Linked DNA regions of Drosophila melanogaster. The gene in region 3 interacts genetically with the main gene of each other region. Each region holds a gene or a part of one and is shown on either strand. Other genes may lie near its edges. The genes, in order: Syx7, kay, hep and Pvf1.

Region 1 (4,610 bases), on a different chromosome or scaffold from region 3:
AGTGGATAAGAAGCCACCACACAAATGATGCCCAAACGAACTATCAATGTCAGTGAATTGGCAAAAAATTTAAACTCAATTTGTATGCAGGCCTGCGGAGCTGGAATTTCAAATGTGGAGGAAGATGGGGTCCGGCGACGAGGAAACCCTTTAGCCCCGGCTGACACACCTCAACGATGCAGCAAGCTGAAGTGGGTCCACCGCATCCAGGTCTGTCGCGGCATTAATGTGCCATCGGAGAGTGTGCGCTCGCTGAACACATAGTCGGATTGGTACCAATGTTTTGGGATCGAGATCGGGTTGGGAGTCGGGAGATGGGAGCTCCTAAGCCGCTAAAGCATGCGTAACAATGGCCAACACGAAATCTTAATGATCGCTAAGCCAAGGAGGAGTCGATGACCATGCACTTCTCCGAATGCCCAGAAGAGCTGGCGAGTTCCATTCATTGATTCATTCAGGTCGGGCCCTAAATGAAGTGCTCCAAGTGTTTTCAACGCACGCAGGATCGATTTTCATGTTTATTATTTCATTTTTCGTACATGTGTGTATGCCATCGCATATATGGCTTCCTCTGCCTCTTAACTCTAAATACAATACAATACAATACAAAGCGCTGGCGAATGAGTTTCGGAACATAATTAGAATTTGAAGCCAACAGTTGTTAATCAATACTAATAATCAATATACAGGGTGCGTAATAATAAAAGTAGTACACATAAAATATAAAATTGTTTTTAAAGCAAATATAACAGATGCACGTGCCGGTGAATACTCCTCAAAACACTATATCTTCGTCTACGAGTCGCAGTTTTCGATTTCAGCCAGTATTGGAAGTTGGATTAAGGATTAAAGCCATAATCTCGCCTAAGGTCCAAAGGATTGGGTGGGGAATTACGGGGTTTAGGGGCCTGCATGCGGCAACTCTTGTCTTTTCACAACAATTTACTAGTTTGGTTTGAATCATTCGGAGATGCCGGAAGGCTCTAATTCTTGAACTGAAAAACGAGTATCAAGATGATGGCCAGCAGCACGGCGCTCAGGATGCCCACCAAAATAAGCTTCTTCTTGCGCACTTTGTTCTAATAAACAACATATTTAAATTATTTAAAATAATAACCTTGTAGGGGCGGCACTTACCCTGTAAGAGCTCGCCTTGCGCAGATTTTCCGTGCCCTGCGAGACAAAAATGCTAGTCTGTTCCACCTGCGACTCGATGGAGTCCACCGTCAGTCCCTGCTCGTAGACCAGGGCGCCAAGCTTCTTGTATATCTCGTTCACGCCCACGATGTTGTTCTCCAACTCCCGTATGACCTGCTCCTGTTCCTCGAGGGCCTGCAGGTCCGCCTGCTCCTCCATCTGAGTCTGCATCTGTTGCTGGTTTGATTTGCGATTGAAGAAGTTGTCCTCGAAGAAGGAGTTGTTGTCCTGCTGGCTGGCGCTACTGTTGGAGCTGCCGGTACGCGATGAGCCGGGTGGACGGGCGATGTTGTAGCTATCTCCGCGCGCCTGCCGCAACGCCGTCTTCTCTATGTCCGCCGTCTTGCGCTGAACAGACTAAAAATACCAATGATAAACAATCAGCATGACTCACAAAACCATTTGCTTATCTGGGAGAACAAAAACAAACCTGGAAGGCGGTCAGTGCCGCCGTGAACTCGTCCACGAGCCTATCCCGCTGGATCTTCAGGTGGCGCTCCTTGCACTTGTCCACCTCGTTGATTTGATTGTTTGTGTCGGTCACCAGCTGGTTGGTGTAGGTCATTATTTGGTGGCTGTGGAGTAAGGGATTGTTATTTTTATCGTGCGTTATACATTGATTTGATTTGTGAATCACACTGTGCTGATACGTTTAAACTTTCAAAACCAATGACTGACTACAATGTTATTTTGCTGTTGGTTTATGTGGTCGGTTGATGTGCGCAAAATGTATTAAAAGGCTGTATTGGCTTAAGAAGATTTTTAGACATTGTGAGTAAACACCCAATAGAGATCTTCACTATGTCTTTAGAATTTATGATTTGTCTGAGAGATATTCGAATAATCGATGTATATCTGCAATGGGTTCTATCTATGGGGACAGTTTAAATTCCAAACGAAGAGATCGTAATGATAATCATCTTACAGCTGCTTCTTGAGCTCCGGAGAATCTTGGGGCGTGTTCAGTTGATTGACCATGCGCTGCATCGTGGACACTGCGAAAGAGACAGAAACCTAGATTAGTCATAGGCGAAAGTTGGCAAGTGCTTCGACGCCACTCACCATTCTGCTGCACCTTCTGGATGCTGGTGGCTATAATCTGGGCCAGCCTTTGGAAATCTATTTCGCTTAGGCCACCTCCTCCCCCGCCGCTTAGACCATTCTCCATATGCTGTAAGTCCATGCTTTCGTAGGCAGACACTTTGATGACCTTCGAGTTATCGCTGGAGACAAGTTGTTCCTGGAGAGACAGACAATCGAATTAGCCCCGTGGCCCACTTATATCACATTCGCTTTTATGCGTCTCAGCCAGGTTCTTGATTCTATATTCTATATTCGTGCTTGTTTGTTAGTTTGTCTGTTTGTCGGAATGTTTGCAATTCGCATTCCCTTTGTTTGCTGCACAGCCACACACCTTTTGTGGTTGCCCTAGCTGTCGTTGGTGACCTTCGCCGGTGACCTTGATCTTAGAGCATTTCCTTCGCACTTTTTACGCGTTTCGCAATCTGAAATTTGTTGATTTAAGTAGGCGGAATGTTCGCAAAACTGAAATTTTAGCTAGGTTTTTACAACAATTGGAATGGAACTGCCAACTTGTGAGAAAGTCACTTTCGACTAATACCCAAAAGTGCCTTAGCGCGTGATGCGTTTAGCATCACTTCCTTGCTACGCTTTACAGCACTTCAATTATATCGATATCTGGCGCGGCATTCAAATAGCAGATATATAGAACTGCATTTTAATTATATTCTTCCCCCTATATTTTGTCTCGAAAATGTATATAAGTCCTGAGATTTATTATTGAAAATCGATCCATGTCTAAAATGAACTGCTTAATGTTATTATTCAAAATTATAAATTATTATTTTGCACTTTTTCTCCAAAATTAAAATGTTAGATTAGGAAAATGTCGTATAGAAATGAAAATGACCAACAATGATGCCTTATAAAACAAATAAGTCGAATTTTAGACAGTTTTCCTTCCGTTCAATAAATATGTTCATACCAAATTTAATAATAATGTAGGTATACAAAACTATTTTGCTTACCCAGAATGTTATTCAAAACTTAAAATTTAACATTGTACAACTCAGGGTATTTGAAACCTGTTTAGCAGAAATAAAATTGAAGATTATTACTTTTCTTAAAAAAGTCAAATAACTGGTAGACAAAATAAGTGCAACTCGTTTATAAAAAAAATCAAAAGCAACTTAATTCAAATTAACGTTACAAATTAGTGTATTGGAGATATTTATCAGTATCCGGTGTTTGGCACGGTTAATGAACTTTAGATCGCAGAATGAATTAGGCTGCTTCGATGCATCCACTAATTACATCATCTCCTACTGCGATGCAAGATATTATGCAAATGACCAATGCAACGAACCTGATTTTTGGAGAACATCATTTTAATCTAAGCTGTGCTGGCTGCATAATTTGAATAAGGGCATAAATGCCTTTCTTTCATCCCGAAATTCCGGTTGGTAGGTGTATTTAGAAGCTTTATAATACAGGGACGGGTTTTAATTTATTGTCTCAGTGTTTTTTTATAATTCGACTCGCATTTTCGGTCCCTGTCTTACCGGGCTCGTATAAATAAGCCTCCAACTGCGAAATGCGGCTTAGTCGATCCGTAGACTTCGTAACGCCCCGACCAGTCGAAAGTTAGTTCATCAAAATTCCGTGCGATGCGTGCTCTCCGGTTCTTTGCGGCTCTTGCCCTCCAACTCACGGCCTGTAGCAGCCAGTACAAATATGGGCCAGGTGCGTAACGTCAAGACCGAGATCAGAAACGGGCCCAAAAGACCCGAAATGAATAAATGAAAAACGAGTGAGAGTGTGCCAGGTCGAAAGCAAACTCAAAACATATGCAGAATTGATTAATCAAGTGCTAAACGGAGTATAAAAGGCGTCAGCAAAATACTCGTAAATTGAATTAAATATTTGACACCCGCTAACAGAGCTGTCAAACATCACTTTTTCCGAAGGAGAATGTTTTAACGAAAGTGGATATAAGACTAATACTTTAAAATTTAAATTTGAATTAATTTTAATGCTTAATTTCCATAGGTTTCTTTCGGTGTTTTATTTATGTGCTATCTTCTGAAAGCAATTTCCCTTTTTAATGATTAATTCGAAAGTGGAGTGGAAAACAATGGCAATTGTGTCTGTGCTTTTGTTTTGTAAAACGAAACATGTGCTTGGAATTGATAAATTCTTGAGGTTGTACTTGAAATGTGTATGCATATCGGCTAGTAACAAAAAATGGTTTCAATTAATCAGAATAATATGCATTCTTAATTTATAATGAAATAAGCTAAAATCGCATTACTTTCAGAGCAATCCTGGGACCTCGACTCTATTTCCGAGTTGAAGAGCAAGGAGTTCTGGTTTCACGACGCCCAGCGCACGCT
Region 2 (7,438 bases), on a different chromosome or scaffold from region 3:
GAGTAACTGAAACAGAGATCCGCGATTCGTGGCTGCACCGAAAGCAACAGATCCCAAAAAAAACAAAAAAAAATGCAAAATAAGGCAAACCCGAAAATGAATATATGCAGCGTGTGTTGTATGTACATATATACTCGTTTGTGCCATTATCAGACGAGTGGAAGAACACGGCTGCGTTTACCTGCCCTTCAGACTGGTCTTTATGGCAGCAACTAGGTGTTTCTATCTCATAATGTTTTCATAACTTGAATGATCGCATTTTCACATTAGAGCCATTTTCTCAATGAGGTTTACTTCCATAAGTAAGTACTTCAAATCGCTTGAAGAAGTCTGCAGAAATTGAGAATGCAGCCTTTGTTGGTCCACCCTAATCTACCTGATATGTTTACCTGACGACGAGCCAGCCCATTTGCAAGTCATGTGAATCGCTATAACTTCAGAAATAATTCCACAAATCGTCTTTAGGTTTTGTCGGTCTTTTTATTTCTATTTTATTCCATTTCATTTTTAAATTTTGGTGTTTTTCTGCCCTTATAAGTGCATTTATTTGCTATCAATCGGTTTGGTTTTGTATAGATTAAAATTTTGAATATTCTGAGAATTTAGTGTGGAAACTGGCGAGAGTTGCTTTACCTGATCAGCTTTTGTTGAATCGTTTTGGGTTTTTTGATTTAAGGTTGTGGGTAGGTAGATATAGGTATACATAATACATAATTACATATTAAATAATTGCTTTGCTTTTGTCATTTCTTATAAATGGTATTTGAAAATAGCGCAATGTTGCGTTTAGTAAAAATATATTTTGGTTTCTACTGCAGCTTACAGAGTACACAATAAGTATATTTATCTCATTTCACATTTGCTTTTGCTCAATATAAAACTCGCTTCAACGCCATTATTGTTTAGCTTTAAATGTACATGCATACATATATGTATGTAGATCTCTATATATAAAGGTTTGCATTTCTTAATTCTCTCTCAAGGCATTGTATTTAGTTTGTATGCTGAATATATATTCACTTTGTTTTGTTTTATAGTATATTTACGCTTTACGATTCGTTTAAATGTACAATTTTAAAACCGGCTTAGTTCCTTTCATTAGACGCTCCTGTTTGCTTTCTACTTTGTTTCATCCTCGCATCTTTTGTATTCGTTTTATAATAAATATCACAACGCATCCTGCAAATCTACACGCCCTATTATCATCATTATCCTTATCATTCTCATCATGCATCGTCGGTCGTTCGCGTTCGCGTTCGCGTTCTTATATTTTTTGAAAATATACAACGCGCAATGAAGAGGTTTGAAAATTGCACAAATTACAAGTACATAACATATGTACATAGCTCCTCGGCGTATGTAAAAGACATAGCGAAATCATAAATTAACCATAATAAAGATAATAATACAAAAACATTAGAGTTAACGAAACAACACATTCGTCACGTTTACGCATATTACAGCATATTACAAAAATGAAAACATCTCCTACAACTAGAAAAGTGCTTCGCGGTTTCCTTCCGTTGTTTGCCTGCCAACTATATAAAACTTAACTTAATCCTGACTCGGCCCCCATCCCCGTCCCAGATCCGGTCCGGTTATAAGCTGACCAGCTTGGACGGCTCGGCGGTGGGCGTGGGCAGCTCCAGCGGGTGCTTGTTCGTGGAGGAGCTGTTCGGTACGAGGGGTCCGGAGACGGGCGTTAGCCCAGTGCCGCCGTCCATCAGGGAGTCGAAGTTGAAGGTGCCGGTCGAGGGCGTCTGGATGGGCACGCCCTGGATCTGCGTGGGCCCACCCGCCTTGTTGTTGGCCATGGTGAGGTGCATCTGGCCCAGAGGACGCTGGAAAGCCAGCGTATTGGGCCGCTCCTTAGGCACCTTGTTATGCGCATTCAGCGTGGGAGAGTTCATGTTGTTGCCGATGCTGTTGATGTTGTTGATGCTGCTGCCGTTGGAGGTCACCGGGAAGGCGCTGCCGAATCCGCCGGGCGCCGTGCTCGTGATCGGCGTCTGCAGAGATCCCGACGAGGCGCCGGTGGGCGTTAATATCGTGGACAAGTGAACGTGCGGCATCGTGGACATGGGCGGCAAGGTGATGCGCTTGCTGGGCGGCGGACCGTCCTGGTCCAGGCTGGATCCTGAGTCGATGGCGCCATCGAGTGGCTCGTCCTTGATGTGCATCAGCAGGCTATCGATGTTCGCCGCCGGCTTGAGATCCAAGGGTGAATTGCTCCTCCCGGTGGAGTTCAGCGTGGCGTCCATGCCCGTAATCGTGCCGTTGCTGCTGTCGTTGCTGTTGTGGTTGTGATGGCTGCTCGCGCCGCTGCCGCTGCTCCCTGCACTCAGGAGTCCGGCCGGGGCAATCAGACCGTTGCAGGTGACCACGCTCAGCATGTCGGAGCGAATCTTTTGGCAGGTGGCCCGGTGGGTGGCCAGAAGGTACTCCAGCTGATTCTTGCTATTCGTCAGCACCTCGATCTCCTTGCGCATGCTCTCGCCCCGCTTCTCCAGCTGCTCCACCTCCTCGGTGAGCTCGTTGGTCTGGTCCACGCGCCTCTTGCGGCAACGGGCCGCCGCCTGTTTGTTCCGCTCCCGGCGCACGGCCCGCTTCTGCTCCTCCTCCGGGGTCATGTTCGTCGACCGGTTGGGGCGTCTGCCACCGCCACGACGAGCCGGCGTATTTGAGGTATTCGCGTTGCTGCTGCCCACCGACGCCGATCCGCGGCTAGAGCTCACGGCGGCCAGGACATTGGAGAAGTTGTTGACACCGCCGCCGTTCACGCTGCCCGCCATGATGTGGCCAGCTTGGTACGAGGTGCTGTCCGTATGGGCACTTGCTGCAGGCGTATGAAATAAAAGGGAGTTAGTAGACATTCGGAGCAATTCGTGCCAGCTTCACTTACAAGTATCGGTCGTGTCCTGCTCCTCGTTCATCTGCGTATCGTTGTACGAAGCGTTGGAGTCCTCGGACTCGCTGCCCTGCCCCAGGCTCAAATCGAATGTCTGCTGAAGTGGGAGCGACGAAACACCGGTGGGAATACCCATGCCCAGGACATCAATGGCATTGGGTAGCACCTTTGGCACTGCAAATCCCGCGCAACCAGCCACACGATCGGTCTGCGTGTCCGAGAGCAAGTGGCCCAGTGTGTCCTCGATGTTGCGCGTGGTGGTCGGCGTCAACGTGGGCGTCGTCAGTGTGAGAACACTCTGGCCGGTCTCAAAGTTGCCGAGCTGCAAGAGCAGAAAAGGTGCATGATTAGTAAAGACATCTATGAGTGCAAGTATCTGAGAAGATGGATTACTATTAACGCTCATTAAAGCTCATGACAAGCACGAAACCCTCTACAATGCCATATCAGTATACATATATCACGCATACGCAGTGTTGCCCGCGAATAGCTTAAGGATGTTTGGGAATTTATTCTTATCACATGAGTAATTTGGGTCGAGTTCAGATATCAGTCAACATCAAAAGCTATTGCTAAGTCTGTAAGACCTCTTGCTTATCCGTACATTTCTAGCGAATTAGCGAACGTGTTTTTGGCCAAACAAAAAACGAAAAAAAAAGAGGCGAAGAGAGATGAAGAAACCGAAAGAGAGGCGGCCAATCCATCACTTTGTTTATATTTGCCCACCCCTTTGTTGTTCCGCATTTGTTCTATTTTCGGCGATGATTAAGTACGCATGCCGCTTGCCAATTGTTTCGCGCCCAAATCTATCCCAATCTCGACCAGAATCGGAGGCATCATCATCGATCGATCTGTGGTACCTGCTGTAGGAAAAGCTCGTTGGCGAGGAAAGTGGCTATCTCACTGGCGTCCATTGCAAAGTTGTCGCTGTGGTTGTTGTCGCTGCCAGCGGCAGCAGATGTTGCAGTTGTGCTCGTTGTTGCAGCTGCAGTGGTGTTGCATGTTGCAGCTGCAGTGGTGTTGCATGTTGTGGCCGTCAAGGCGAGTTGCGCCTGCCCAGGGGTTTCGGGATTCCAGCCGGAGGCGGAGGACTGGGACTCGGAAGGGTAATGTTGCTGCTGCTGCTGCTGGTAGTAATTAATGGGCATGCAATTGTTGTTGAACTCCAGTTGCTGCTGCTGCTGCTGTTGCTGGTTGAAAAAATTCTGCATTTGGCAGACGGCGGCCATGGCAGCCGCATTGTTGCTGTTGTGACTGCCGCTGCTGGCAGCGTAGGCGCTGCTAGCAACATGGCCATAATTGTTGCTGCTGCTGCGCAGTGGAAAAGCATTGTGGGCAACCGATTGCGATTGCTGGTAGGCTGGCTGCGTGGGCAGTTGCCGTTGCTGATGACGCAACTGTTGCTGCGGCGCTTGCTGTTGCTGCTGCTGCTGCTGCATATGTTGCTGCTGTTGCTGCAGATGATGCTGCTGCTGCTGCTGCTGCTGCTGAGCAAAATGCAGCGATTGGTGGTAGTAGGGATGGTAGCACGCATTGTGCGTCCTACCGTTGAGATTTTTCATCATTTGTTCGCTGCTTATCGATCTAAACCTAAATATTAAGTATACGCACTCGCGTTGCGTATACGCACAGTTGGGCGGCTGACTAGTATTCGTTGGGGTTCTTAGCCTAGCTAAGCTAACACAACAATTGGGACAACAATGATATATGCGAATTGTATTCAAAATCAACAAAAACAATTCAACAATCTAAGAATCTAGTTACTAGCTAAACTAGAGTATATGTACAAATTGGGACTCTGTTCCCAAAGTTTCCTAACAATGTGCTGATGATCCTTTCTTGTCTTTATAATTCCGTTCGTTTGGATGCTCCTATGCTGTTTGTTGTCGCAGTGTTGTTCTAGTTGCTTAGAAATTCGTTCGTTTTTGGCTTTGTTTCATAGCTTCTTTTTTTTGTGTGTATTGTGTATTTCGTTTGCTTTCTGCGTTGGCTCTTTCCTAATAAAGAAAAAGGGTTCGTTTGATTTGACTTCTTGCTAGCTGCGAGCCGTGAGCAGATTTCGTATATGTTCGTTGTTCGATTGCTCAGTTCTTGAAGTTTTGGCTCTCCGGCGGTCTCAGCCGCTTAACGATAAGCGTTTGCTGATTTCGCAAAGGATTGAAACGCACATTCCGCTCGGCGAAAGCGCTCATAATCGACGCAGTTTATCGTAAGTGTGCGAGGCCCAAAATCCAGCGACACGTGTCCAGTTTAAGTCGCTCCACTGTGTGAGCCGCAAATTCGATTATTATATAATTATAGAGATTTACACGGACATGGAGCCTTGAGCTAGTTCAATTAATGCTGCATTTGTTGTATTCAGAAATTCCTCGGCCATGGGCAACGCCTCTCAACACAGCGAGTGTTATGCCTCCCTTTGCGCTTTTATTTCTGGGTTTGGCTATATTTACATATATATATATATATATATGTATATTCGTATGGCATATATATTTCGATCCACGCGCTTGCAGCCGAGAAATGTGCGTTGTTTTGCGTCTATATGTATATATGTACATATAGCCGACTGATTCGTTTTTTTTGCTCCTGATTCGTTTTGGCAATGCACGCGCACCGAAAACCCAACGACAATTGCAGTTTTCCAAATTTATTTTCGTTTCGTTGTTTGAGTTTCGCGTTTCGATTCGATGCGATGCGATTCGAGGAAAAGCGCGCGCGCGATCGCTTTTAATTGTTAGATATTTTCTAAACTTCGATGGTTCGTTGTTCGTTTGCGACTGAATCGCATCAGAATCTCCGGCGAGCGAAATTGGCAACGATCGCGATCGAGAGATCGCCGCAGATGTATGCATATATATGTATATATATACATATCATATATATATTTATATATCTTGAGAACTACTAGAGAACCCGAACCCGCATCCGAATCCGGAGAGCTGTCTGCTGTCTGCTGGGCGTGTGTTGTGCGAGCTGGCTGCTCAAATTAGAAGACAGCCGCTGGGAAATCAAATGATCCTAAACGCTGGCTGCTCTTAATTGAGCGGCTGCCCACACGACGACCACGCTCGCTTTTGCCGCATTCAAAGCGAAATATGTACATTTAGTTAGCTATAGTAGAATGTGGTGGTGGCTTATGTACATATGTATATGCTTCTGCTTCCGATTTGCCGAACTTGCCAGAGGCTCATTCTTCGCTTCCACGGAAAAGCCTTTCAGTTGCCCATAAATCAGGCCCAATGTTTTGGCCAAAAGCGATGATTCCGAGTAAACATAAGCTACATACATATATACACATGTCCGATTCGACAGATGTCCCACGAACAGGTGTGTGCGTGTGGCACATCCACATTAACTATGTTTTCAGTTCAGTTCAGTTCAGTTCAGACCCCCTGTCTCGCCAAGAGCGTTTATTTCCGTCGCCAGCAAGTTGGCCAATACGCTAATTGCTGGCTTTTGTTGTGGGCTAAGAGCAACACACACACACACACATACCAGTTGCACTGGGGCTACATTTTTGAAGTAGTATGCCTTCTTTTCTCTCCGTGCAGCGAGTTCGAGCGGCTTGTGTGCTTATTTATTTGACGATCTTATCGCAGCCGTGTTTCCCAATCCCAAAGGCCGTTCCCTTATTGACAGCAAACAATCGATTTTATTCTTTGTGATATATTTACTTTTTAATTTCGTATGCGAAATTTACTTTCAACTCGGCCGCCTTGGCTGTTTGGCCACCTTTGTTTGGCTGGCTACTTTCGTTTTAACCCACTTTTTTGCCATTTGAACTTGTCCCTCGCGAACATGAACCGCATTTAGCCGATGATGAATCAGTCAATTTGGAAAATGTACGTATGCAAAACAAGTGATGATATAGAATGCTGGCAATCAAGCGCGGCGAATTGAATTGTCTAAATTGCTTGCCAGCCAGCTCGGATGGCGATCTCGATTCTCCTATCGGAACGTTGGACAGAGTCATATCTCCGGACACCGAGTTCACATCTGGGGGTCAATTATGAACCAAATGAAACGAGCAGCGAACATCGAACAGCCAGCAGTGGAGAGTAAAAAAAAAAAAGAAAAAGTAAAACACTGACGTAGCGAAAAGCAACAAATTGCTGACTAATACACGCGACTGCTGCAAATTTGATTTGCGGGCGGTTCAAGCCAAACCAAAGTGGCCCCTAAATAAATGTATGGTGACTGCAACTTACAAAAATATTTCAAAACCTAAAAATTGCCACTTCCCAAAGGAATTCCCTGAAAACTCAAACTTATCAATTGCCTGTAAATCCGCGCTATCATTTTGATTAGACCATCAACTTTGACCTTGGCTCTAATTAGTTCAAAAACACATTCACATGTTTTTAAACGCTGGGCAGAGGAGGAAGGTGAAGATGCAACAAGTTGAGTGGCTAAGAAATTCTCGGGCCCGAGACTTTGCCTTCTGCTTTCAGCTGACGTGTTGGGCTATTTTTAGACCAATTTTAGCCTGACAATGACGTAATGACGGCACAAAAAAAAACAAAAAACTTG
Region 3 (4,914 bases):
CCATCGTGTGCGTGTGTGTGTGTGTGCATGAAGAGGAAGAGCGAATGAGAGCGATTTTGTTTTTGTTTGCGAAGTTTTTTTTTCCCTGGCAGCAATTCAATTCAACAATTAGCCACTACAACAACAGCACGTCATAAAAAATAACGCTATTTGTAAACATGCGAAAGAGGAGACACGGCACAATGTCCGATGAACGAATGTGGGCAGGGTGCGGCGGAGGTGGGAATATGTGAGGCCCAAAAAAAATGACAACAACAGTAACGGGCATATCAAGACATTACTCCGGAAATGCCAAAAAGTAACCAATGGCGGAGAGCGAGAGAGGAAGAGAGCACCAAACGCGAGTAGAGAGACGCACACATGCAAAAAGTAAATAAAAAGTATGTAAGTAAATAAATAACAACACTTGATGGCAGATGAAAATCCAATAAGAAAAATATACAAGACAAATATGCAAAAACTTAAATGTATAACAAAAGGAAGGGGAAAAGAAACGAAAAAAGGCGGTGGGTGGTCTCACAACCGTGGGCACAATAACGTCATCTCTTACATGAAAAATTTAAAATTTCTATCAATTTAAGCCTCATAAATAATCGAATAACGACAACTTTTGTCTTTAATAAACCAATTTTGTTCTGATAAATTAACATATAGACCGTTATATTTTGTTAGCTATTTATTCATTTAACTTTTGCTCGCTCATTATGTACCACGAACTTGAAAATCTATTCAATAGCTGATTACACTGTTAAAATTTGGGTGTGATTTTAAGTACCCCTGAAATTCGCGGAAACTATTAACCACTACTAATCTAATCGAATCGAAATGTATTTGATTATTCAAAAACCCATTAGGCATTTTCTGGGGTTCATGTATCAAACAGTTATGGTACCAGGAATTGTTAATCTAATCGAGGCGAAAATAAATTGACGCGGTTCACAGCTGTTAATACCACTGTAGATTTGACTTCTTTTTATTTTTGTTTGGCCCAACAAAAGGCCGAAAACAAGTTGGGTACGCTTTTGGTGTTCGCACTTGGCCTGTCTTATCTATGCAATCGGAAAAACAGAACGGGAAATCGGAGGGGGGGAAAAGCGGCAGAGCTACGGGGTTGACGGGGCGCTGCTGAGGTGCTGGAATGGGGGATTATGAGCAGCTGTTATGCAGTCGGGGAATCGATAGCGTTTGCCCTTTGTTGGCGGCATCCAAATGCTCCAAAGTAAACCCAATGGCAATAGCAATGGGAAAAGCCAAGAAAAGAGCACTTCTCTTATCACAATTTAAGCACACATACATGTATGTACACACACACACGCGCACATACACAGCTTATTGGGCAATGACAATTTATTAACAAAATATTTACACAAATGCGGACAAAAGATGGTTTTGTGGCTTGCGGTTGGCGGTACGGTATATATAGATTTTTGGTGACCATTTTTGGGGATCACGATTTTTCTCAGCCCACTTTTATTACCACTTAACAAACTGTCTACAGTTGCGGTCAGAGAAATGTTGGCTTAAATCCACACCTGTCACAGAGGATCAATAAAGATTTCACCTGTCTAATGTTCGATCGATAAAACATTGATCTTTCTGCGAATTAATATCAAAAATGTTGTTTGTGCGTTTGGAAATTTACTTGGAAAGTTTTACCACGTTTTTGGCGGCCAAAACTGTTTTTCGACAACGATTTACTTTCGAAAGTAGAGAATTATCGAATATTCGAATCGGGAAAGTCTCGTTGGAAAATTTTGAGTTACAGTACGCAGTTTGATAAGCTATCATTTTTAGATAGCGGTTTAGAGTATTCCCTGGTACATGGAGTTTAGTTGTGACATTATATTTTGTTATATTTTTCTTCAACGATTTTCAAAGATTCAGGTAACTACAGTGTTTTTCTAGTTGATCCCAATTAATTTTATATATTAAAGATTTAGTAGGAAGTTAACGAAAAGAGGACTTACGCATGGGCAGTGTGGGCGTGGCTCGCGACACTCTAGTTGTCGGCGGGGTGTATGTTCCACCGAAGGTGCCCGTCGCCGGTGCTGCGGATGCAAATGCGGATGCGGATGAGGATGATGACGAGGCGCTGGCGCTGCCGAAGGGCGTCGCATGAGGAACTGGAGGTGCTGGACGCTGGGCTATGCTGATACCCGATCCGGAAACGGAACCTGCGCCCAAGGAAGGTGCGTGGGTGGCGGATGTGGCTGCGGATGCGGATGTCGCCAGGGGCGGGACGCGGGCAGATGGAACGGAACCGGAAACGACAGGGCCGCGCGCACCGGAGAGGACGATCTGGTCGTGGGACTCATTCTGCGCCTGGAGCTTTGCCTCCAAGGATTGCAGCCGACTGCCGATCGTTTCGAACTCAATGGTGGACATTATATCGAGTCGATTTGGTTCGATTTTTTATAGTTAGTTGCTAGTATCGTTGGATTTTGGTATTTATTAAATTTTTTTCGCCGTTTTTTGGCCAGCACTTCTTCGATTTTCCTCTCACTCACTCCCTCTCTCTCACACACACACAAGCGCGCGCAGGCGGGGGAGGGTGCGTGTGTGTGTGAATTGTTTTGCTGTGCGCCCTGTTTGTTTTGTCGCTGATGTTGTTGTTGTTCGGCGGCACACATACACTGTAAACTTTACACTTGCAAAAATAAAGGATTGCTTGGACTTTTGTTGTTTGCCAAGGGGGGGCACAAAAACAAAATCGAAAAAAGGAAAACACAGTCACTGTGCATTAGAGAGAGACATCCTCACCCCCACACACGCACACACACAGGCATACACGCAGCGCCCTCTCTCTCTTTCTTTTTCAGCAGCAACGGCAACAACAACTTGCGATTTTTTCCTCCTTTTTTGGGAGAATATTTCATCGGTTGTTTTCCTTTCGCGGCGCTGTTTGTCGCACTTCTGCAATCGATTCGTTTCGCGACCGCGGGCGGCGGTATCACTGGCACAATTTGATCACTCGCTTTTGTACGTTTTTGCTGCCTAAATCGCGTGTACAATAGTGATGTAAAAAAACATCGATGCATCAGCCATCGATGGTTCTTCGCCGATAATTCTTAATATCTTTTTTCGTGCCTATCGATGGTTTGCAAAACATCGGCACCTCAGAAACAGTTTTCGAACTAGGAACGGCATCTAAAACTATGTAGGATTTTATTTTACCGAGATAGAATAATTTTCAGAGGATATTTCATACAAATATAATATAACTATAATAGATTTTTCAAATTCAAATTGGTCGATTCGAGAGACTTCGTTGTTCTTGTACTTAAAATAATAATATAAGGTCTACCTATTTATTAATTAATAAAATAATAAATTATTTTAGTACAATTCTAAAACATCGAATTCTATATGTTCAGTCAAACTTGCAACATTACGTATCGAAAACGGAGTGACCAAAGTGCTAAAAAGAATCATAAATATACCGAAATGCAACTTAAGATGGGCATCACTTGGCTAGAACTTATTAAGTTTTCCCTTAAAATAAATGTCTATAAATGTATAAATAAAAAATTAAAGAAAATAAACAAACATTAAAAAATAGGTATGAAGAATATACGGAACAACTTTCTAGAAGGCTTACAAAGAGATATAGATATAATCGATACCTAACTTAATTATCTAAATTCGTTGCAGGTGGAAGCAAATTTATTATCGAGGCACTTCGATTTATTTGTATGACGATACTATAGCTGCACTCGTTGGGATATATCGATAGGACCAACTGCGGCTGGCCAGCGCTAGTGGAAAAGAGAGAAAAACGAGAAGAGAAGCGAAAAGCGATCGGTGAACAGTGCAAAAAGTGCGGAAAGGAAAGCAAAGGCAATAGCGAAAGGTTGGGCGGCAAAACCCGGGCCACACGATCCACACCGATCCGATCCCCATATCACCGACCCGCATCCGAATCCTGACCTGACCAAATGCGGTAAAAATAGCCGCACCGCATCGCATCCGATTCGCACCGAACCGCCAAGTCTTGCAGAATCCGCCAGAAAACACCAAGGAAAGTCGTGGAGAGGAGAGGGTATATATAGCATATAGCATATAGGATATAGGATATAGAAGGGCCTACCAAAATGTCCAAACGCCACCGCCTCACGCCCTTTACCATTGCCAAGGAGCCAGAGGCCGCCATGTAAGTCAAAATGGTCAAATCCTGGCCAGAAACGAATTGTGAATTGAACTACATTCGGCAATCCTTTTAGAGTCCCGCCACGCAACCTGGACTCGCGGGCCACCATCCAAATTGGCGACCGGACCTTTGACATCGATGCAGATAGTCTCGAGAAGATCTGCGATCTGGGCCGTGGCGCCTATGGCATCGTGGATAAGATGCGCCATAAGCAAACCGATACGGTCCTGGCCGTCAAACGCATACCCATGACCGTAAATATTCGAGAACAGCACCGCCTTGTAATGGATTTGGACATATCGATGAGATCCAGCGACTGCCCCTACACCGTCCACTTTTATGGTGCGATGTATCGCGAGGGCGATGTCTGGATTTGCATGGAGGTGATGAGCACCAGCCTGGACAAGTTCTATCCGAAGGTCTTCCTTCACGATCTGCGAATGGAGGAAAGCGTGCTGGGCAAGGTCAGCTGGGGAGGATTGGGGGCGGGTCTAATCTTATCGGGCAATCGCCACTATACTATTACCGTACTACTGCCTTTGCTTTACAGATTGCCATGAGCGTGGTCAGTGCGCTGCACTATCTGCACGCTCAACTGAAAGTCATTCATCGGGACGTCAAGCCCTCGAACATACTGATCAATCGGGCCGGCCAGGTCAAGATCTGTGACTTTGGCATCTCAGGTGGGCTGGCATTCTGTGACTTCTTGCCACTGTAATCATTCTAATATTGGACTGACTTTTAGGCTACCTCGTCGACTCCATTGC
Region 4 (4,946 bases), 5.7 Mb from region 3:
CTGGTTTCGTGCAGTGTATGAGGGCAAGACGAAGAAAAGCAAAGTGAGAAGTGGTGCAAAAAACAACACAGGAAAGGAGATAGCAGAATGGGTAAGAGGGGTGTGGAAAGGGGTGGGGAAGGAGAGCAAGATCGGATGGTGTTAAAAATAGCTTTAAGCTCGCCTTGTAACGGTACTCCTCGGGAGTTTCAATTTGTGTGTATGTTTCTGCACTTGCGTTTTAGGTGCAATGGGTGCACAAGTGTTTATTTGTGGGCTGCAATCAACACACACACACGCACACGGAATTCAGCTATCATTGTTTTCCTTTCTGTTTTCCTTACATTTCTTGGCTCTTTTTAACAGTTAAGCAAATACCGATTGATATGACAGACCAAACGTTGTTATTCTTTTCATCGCTCTCCCTCCCTCTCTCTTTCTCTGTTGCCAGGTGTCACGCACACCTGTGTGATTCATCTTGACATTCCTCTGTGCCGTCTTGTTGTTGTTGCTCTGTTTTTATTTTTTTTTTTGGCGGCTGCTGCACAAGCTTTGTGTGGAGTAACAGCTGTTAGCTTAACAGTTTCGGAATAATTTTCAATTGGAATTAAAAAGATATCAAGTAATTTACTAATCTATCTGCAAAGAATTTCAATAGATCTTACAAACTGAAAACAAGATTCAAAATATAATGCAGATTCTTAAAACCTCTATAGGATGTTCGTTCGACGGGTGGGCCGCTGGTGATTGCACAACCTGTCACATCGAAGGTCTCTTTAACCCGATTCAACGGTTAACTTGTGCGTCTAGTCAGTTATCAGTTATCAGTTGTTGTTGTTTTTGTTGTTGTTGCTACTGAGGCATTTCGTCAGCGCAGATATTACAGATCGACCACAGGGAGACGGATAGATGGGAGTAGTGGTAAGGGGGAAAGGCAGATTACAAAATTAAGCACGTTTTTAAATTATATATATGAATGCGAATATGTACTTATTGCGAAAGCGACAGGCTTTTGTTACTCCTCATACTGATTGCTTTTAGTACCCTGTACTAAAAAAAGGTATGCTAACTTTGGCGAAATCTGATCAGCATTTAGTTTCAAAAAACGCAATCAAGCCACTGTTTACAAGCTTTCTTTAGGAATATTAAACTTATAAGGCTATCATATGCATATATCCATGCCTCAGGTATCATATAGTCGATAGACGATACCCATATGATCTGTATTTAGTTTGCGCAGGTGTCAGCTGTATTTATTCTCACACTTTCGAGGCATTCCTTCCCGGTGCGTCACCCGAAGATATCAAATCATATCAAGTAATCTCAAGGAGGAGAAGGCGAGGAACCAAAAGGAATCATCTCGGAATCGCGATCCCCACTTGGGCGGTCCTTAATTACGCGAAGGGAGTGCCTCCCGCCAGGCAATTGCTCCCCGCACAAGAATTCCAATACAAAAGGAAGACTCAAGCGTTAATGATAAGACCGCGGGCGCGGCGCGGGCGGAGGCGTGGCAGATCAGGGAACAGGCCCATAGCTTGTCTTCCCGTCTGGTCATTCGCTCAGGCAAATCAATTACAATATAGACATGATAATAACTCCACTGCATCCATGGGCCCATGTAGACGGGGGAGCAGTAGAGCAAACAACAAACAAGAAAACACAAAACTTGGACCAACAGGAGGGCAATGGGCAATGGACAATGGGCAGTGGGTTCTACAAGCTCTACAAGATAAATTATGGATTTGCTCCCAAAGGGCTCCCAAAGGGATCGGGTCAACGGCGACGTCTGGAATGCGAGTCTAAGATTAACCGATTTCAACTTTTGGAAGGCGGAAATATGAACAAGTTTTTAAAAAACTAGGGCATATCTAAAATAATTGTTTTCTTTTTTAAGTTTAGTGAAGGTGTCACTTGCTCAAGGTATAGTTTCCTTTCTAGGATATCAAAGTTCTCCAGTTGTTTCATACAATATACGTTATAATTAGAAACGTTTACTATAATATTTTAATATTCATCACATAATATATAATGTGTGACTTTTGTGAGCAAACATTATCATTAAACGTGTTTTCTTTTAATGAAAACCCGCAAATGTGCATTTCAAAATAAATTATTTCTTAAAAATGGCATTTTTGTTCTAAAATGTTATAAATTAAAAAAAAAAAAAAAAAAACAGGAACTTTGAACACATTGCCAGCATTAGTTTATTGAACTTTATTGACGATTTATCCGCAATAACTCGATCATAAACAACTTGATATATTGCAGTTTAAGGCAGCGACTACATTTAAGCCAAGTTCACTTTCATTTGTGATTCACAAATCTTATATTCGCACGCGATTTGACGTAGTTTGATTTGAATAACGATTAAGCCCGGCTTAGACTTTGTTTTTAGGAATTCAAGCGCAACATTTTCACTGGGTTTTCCACACAGCCACTGGAATAACTCAACAGCCAGATCAAAAAACGTTAATTGCAATTGTACTTTTTTGTTTTGTTTGGTTTTTTTTTTTTTTGCATTTGTTAATGATAAAATGGTGTTCTGGTTTTGCTCGAAAGCTATTGGGGAAAAAAAACATATATATAACAAAAGGCTGTGCGCTGTGGAGAGCTTTTTAAAAGGCCCGGCTTTAGTGGGGCAGAAGTGGAAAACCATATAAACAATAACAAAAAGCAGTTTCAGTTTAAATGTTAGATGTAGTCGAGGGTCGCTGGCTTGTTTGTTTACGCTGCTGATTTGTGTTGAAATGTTGAAATTTTGAGAAGCACCACTTACTTTATGGAAACACGGCTTGAAAATTCTAAATATTATGTTTTACACGAAGTTCAATGGCACAAATCGGTTAGCACGAAACGAAAAACAAACAACAAAAAATATGTGTGCACAAATGGGGGGTTTTGTATTTAATAATTTGTGATATATATTTGAGCGCGTTTAAGTTTGTGGTGTTAGCCTCGCGGAGATCGGCGGAGCTGCGATCCAAGCACCAGCAAGTTCCGTTCAAAACTGTCGACTCGTCGGTGTGGGCCAAGTTACTGCGCCCCTATCACCACAGTCGCCAATAACAATAGCAGTAGCAGTAACTGTTGCAGTAACAGTAACAGTACCCAGCTGTCGCAGCATTGCGCTCTCCGCTCTGTACCGCAACACTCACATCCAATCCGAACCGAACCGCTCCGCTCATTACTCTCCCGATCTTGGGGCCTGGAGCGGAGCGGATGGGTTTCACTGTTAACAGTTAACGCTGGGAGAGCGCGATCTCGACTTACGCACACCCTCGCTCAGGAGGCTCGCTGAGATTTTAAATTTAAATATATATAGAGCAACATGAACAATACATATGTTACATTCTATTATCTGTCTATTGGTGGAAATGGAGTATATTATCTGATTAATCAGTGTTGTGGTGATGATAAATATTACTCATAAAGCTGCACTATTTCATCGTTATTTTCAAAGTATTCATTTTAGTGTGACATTTTACATTATGTTAACACTACGCAGCAATAATCTGTAAACTTTCTTTAGGCAATCTTTCATTCTTTCAAACTTTCCTTAGAAAATATTTCAATTGTGCCCGTTTCTATTAACCTGACTTCATGTATTGATATTTTTTTATTCATATAAGTACATTGTCTTTCAGCCATCTGCTTGCTATATTAAAGTAACTATTCGCTTATGTCTATAGTTCCTAAGATGTAAATGTAAATCGTCTCATAAGCATTAATTTTACAGCAAAAAATAAAATACGATTTTAAATTCAAGTTCGTTTGGAAAAACATTTCCGATGACTAGGATATAAATTCAAAATATTAACGCTATTAAAACGTTACATTTATCCATTGCTTAAGTATATATTAATCGTAGTTCTGGACGTGAGATGTCGCTCAGGTATCTACGATTCCGGCTAGGTTGACTGCCCTACGGATGTTCCTCACACACATGCCGTTCGAGATCGATGGCCCGGAAGAAGGGCCGCACGCAGAATTCACAGGTGTAAGTGCCGTGTCCATGGCCGCGATCCGTCTTTATGTGATCGGTGAGGTGGCACCGCTGGGTGAATCTCTTTCCGCACGTGGGACACAGATGCGGTCGGTGGTCCAGGTGCAGACTGTTAACGTGCTTCTTTAGGTGATCAGCAGTGGCGAAGTCCGCCTGGCAAATACCGCACACATGACCGCGCAAGAGGATGTGAACACGTTGCAGATGGGACCGCAGGGCTTCTCGGCTGCCATGGCTCTTGCCACAGTAGCAGCAGTCCAGGGCACTGCGTTCGTGAACCTGCTCCAGGTGCCGCACCAGGCTCAGACTGCCGGGGAATCCGTTGGCGCAGAAGGGACACACGAAAACGCTCGGCTTAGCGTTCACAATGCACGACTCCTTGTCCAGGTCGGTGGGCCAGCCAAAGGTGAGATCGTCGTCCCAGTCGATGCTGGGCAGTATGTTCTCAATGTTCTCCTCTAGCATCTCAAGATCCTCCATTTCATCAACCTGGCTGTCTGCAGGGATCGGATTGAATAGTATTATTAAGCAGGGTATGCCATTAACATCACAACTACTCGTAAGCAGAATACCTACCTGCATCACTGGCCGTGGACTTCAGGGTACGCAGGCGATGCACCTCCTCGGCGTGCTCCTGCAGCTCCAGCATCCCGCTAAAGGTCTTAACGTCGTTGCAGTTGTCCGTGCACATGTCGCAGTAGAACAGCGACTGCTGGCCGTGCCAACTGGCAACATGACGGTAAAGAAACGTGGCTGACGCGTACTTCTTGCCGCACTGCAGGCACAGGAACTGGCCATCGTTGTGCTTTCGCTCCCGATGCCGCTCCAGCCGGGCCTCCTCGCCGAAAAGCGTCAGGCAGTGGGGGCAGACGAAAAGACGCCTCACCCTGACGGAGCACTGCTGCTCGTGCCGCTTGGCGGCCAGATGACGAGAGAACTCCGCAAAACAAACGCCGCAGTGGTA

Evidence for each region.
Region 1: of hep (region 3) and Syx7, changing one suppresses a phenotype caused by changing the other (phenotypic suppression), as found in Drosophila melanogaster (one study listed by BioGRID).
Region 2: of hep (region 3) and kay, changing one suppresses a phenotype caused by changing the other (phenotypic suppression), as found in Drosophila melanogaster (2 studies listed by BioGRID).
Region 4: of hep (region 3) and Pvf1, changing one enhances a phenotype caused by changing the other (phenotypic enhancement), as found in Drosophila melanogaster (one study listed by BioGRID).

What each region holds. Positions count from the first base shown.
Region 1 is NT_037436.4:21,444,025-21,448,634, reverse strand, and holds Syx7 (syntaxin 7), read right to left. Parts: upstream 2,802-4,610; 5' UTR 2,612-2,801; intron 2,475-2,611; 5' UTR 2,381-2,474; coding exon 2,260-2,380; intron 2,193-2,259; coding exon 2,123-2,192; intron 1,773-2,122; coding exon 1,628-1,772; intron 1,555-1,627; coding exon 1,138-1,554; intron 1,080-1,137; coding exon 984-1,079; 3' UTR 507-983; downstream 1-506. Other genes in the region: Alp1 (alkaline phosphatase 1), read left to right, coding at 3,885-3,960, 4,535-4,610.
Region 2 is NT_033777.3:29,787,185-29,794,622, reverse strand, and holds kay (kayak), read right to left. Parts: upstream 5,688-7,438; 5' UTR 4,471-5,687; coding exon 3,769-4,470; intron 3,231-3,768; coding exon 2,903-3,230; intron 2,837-2,902; coding exon 1,599-2,836; 3' UTR 510-1,598; downstream 1-509. UniProt on the Drosophila melanogaster protein: Developmentally regulated transcription factor AP-1 binds and recognizes the enhancer DNA sequence: 5'-TGA[CG]TCA-3'. May play a role in the function or determination of a particular subset of cells in the developing embryo.
Region 3 is NC_004354.4:13,087,392-13,092,305, forward strand, and holds the start of hep (hemipterous), read right to left. Parts: upstream 3,044-4,914; 5' UTR 2,386-3,043; coding exon 1,968-2,385; intron 1-1,967. Other genes in the region: lic (licorne), read left to right, coding at 4,092-4,150, 4,221-4,611, 4,698-4,830, 4,893-4,914. UniProt on the Drosophila melanogaster protein: Required for the epithelial cell sheet movement called dorsal closure (DC), which allows establishment of the dorsal epidermis. Controls the expression in the dorsal epithelium edges of another dorsal closure gene, puckered (puc).
Region 4 is NC_004354.4:18,830,756-18,835,701, reverse strand, and holds the start of Pvf1 (PDGF- and VEGF-related factor 1), read right to left. Parts: upstream 3,021-4,946; 5' UTR 2,756-3,020; intron 1-2,755. Other genes in the region: CG7101 (uncharacterized protein), read right to left, coding at 3,902-4,479, 4,559-4,946.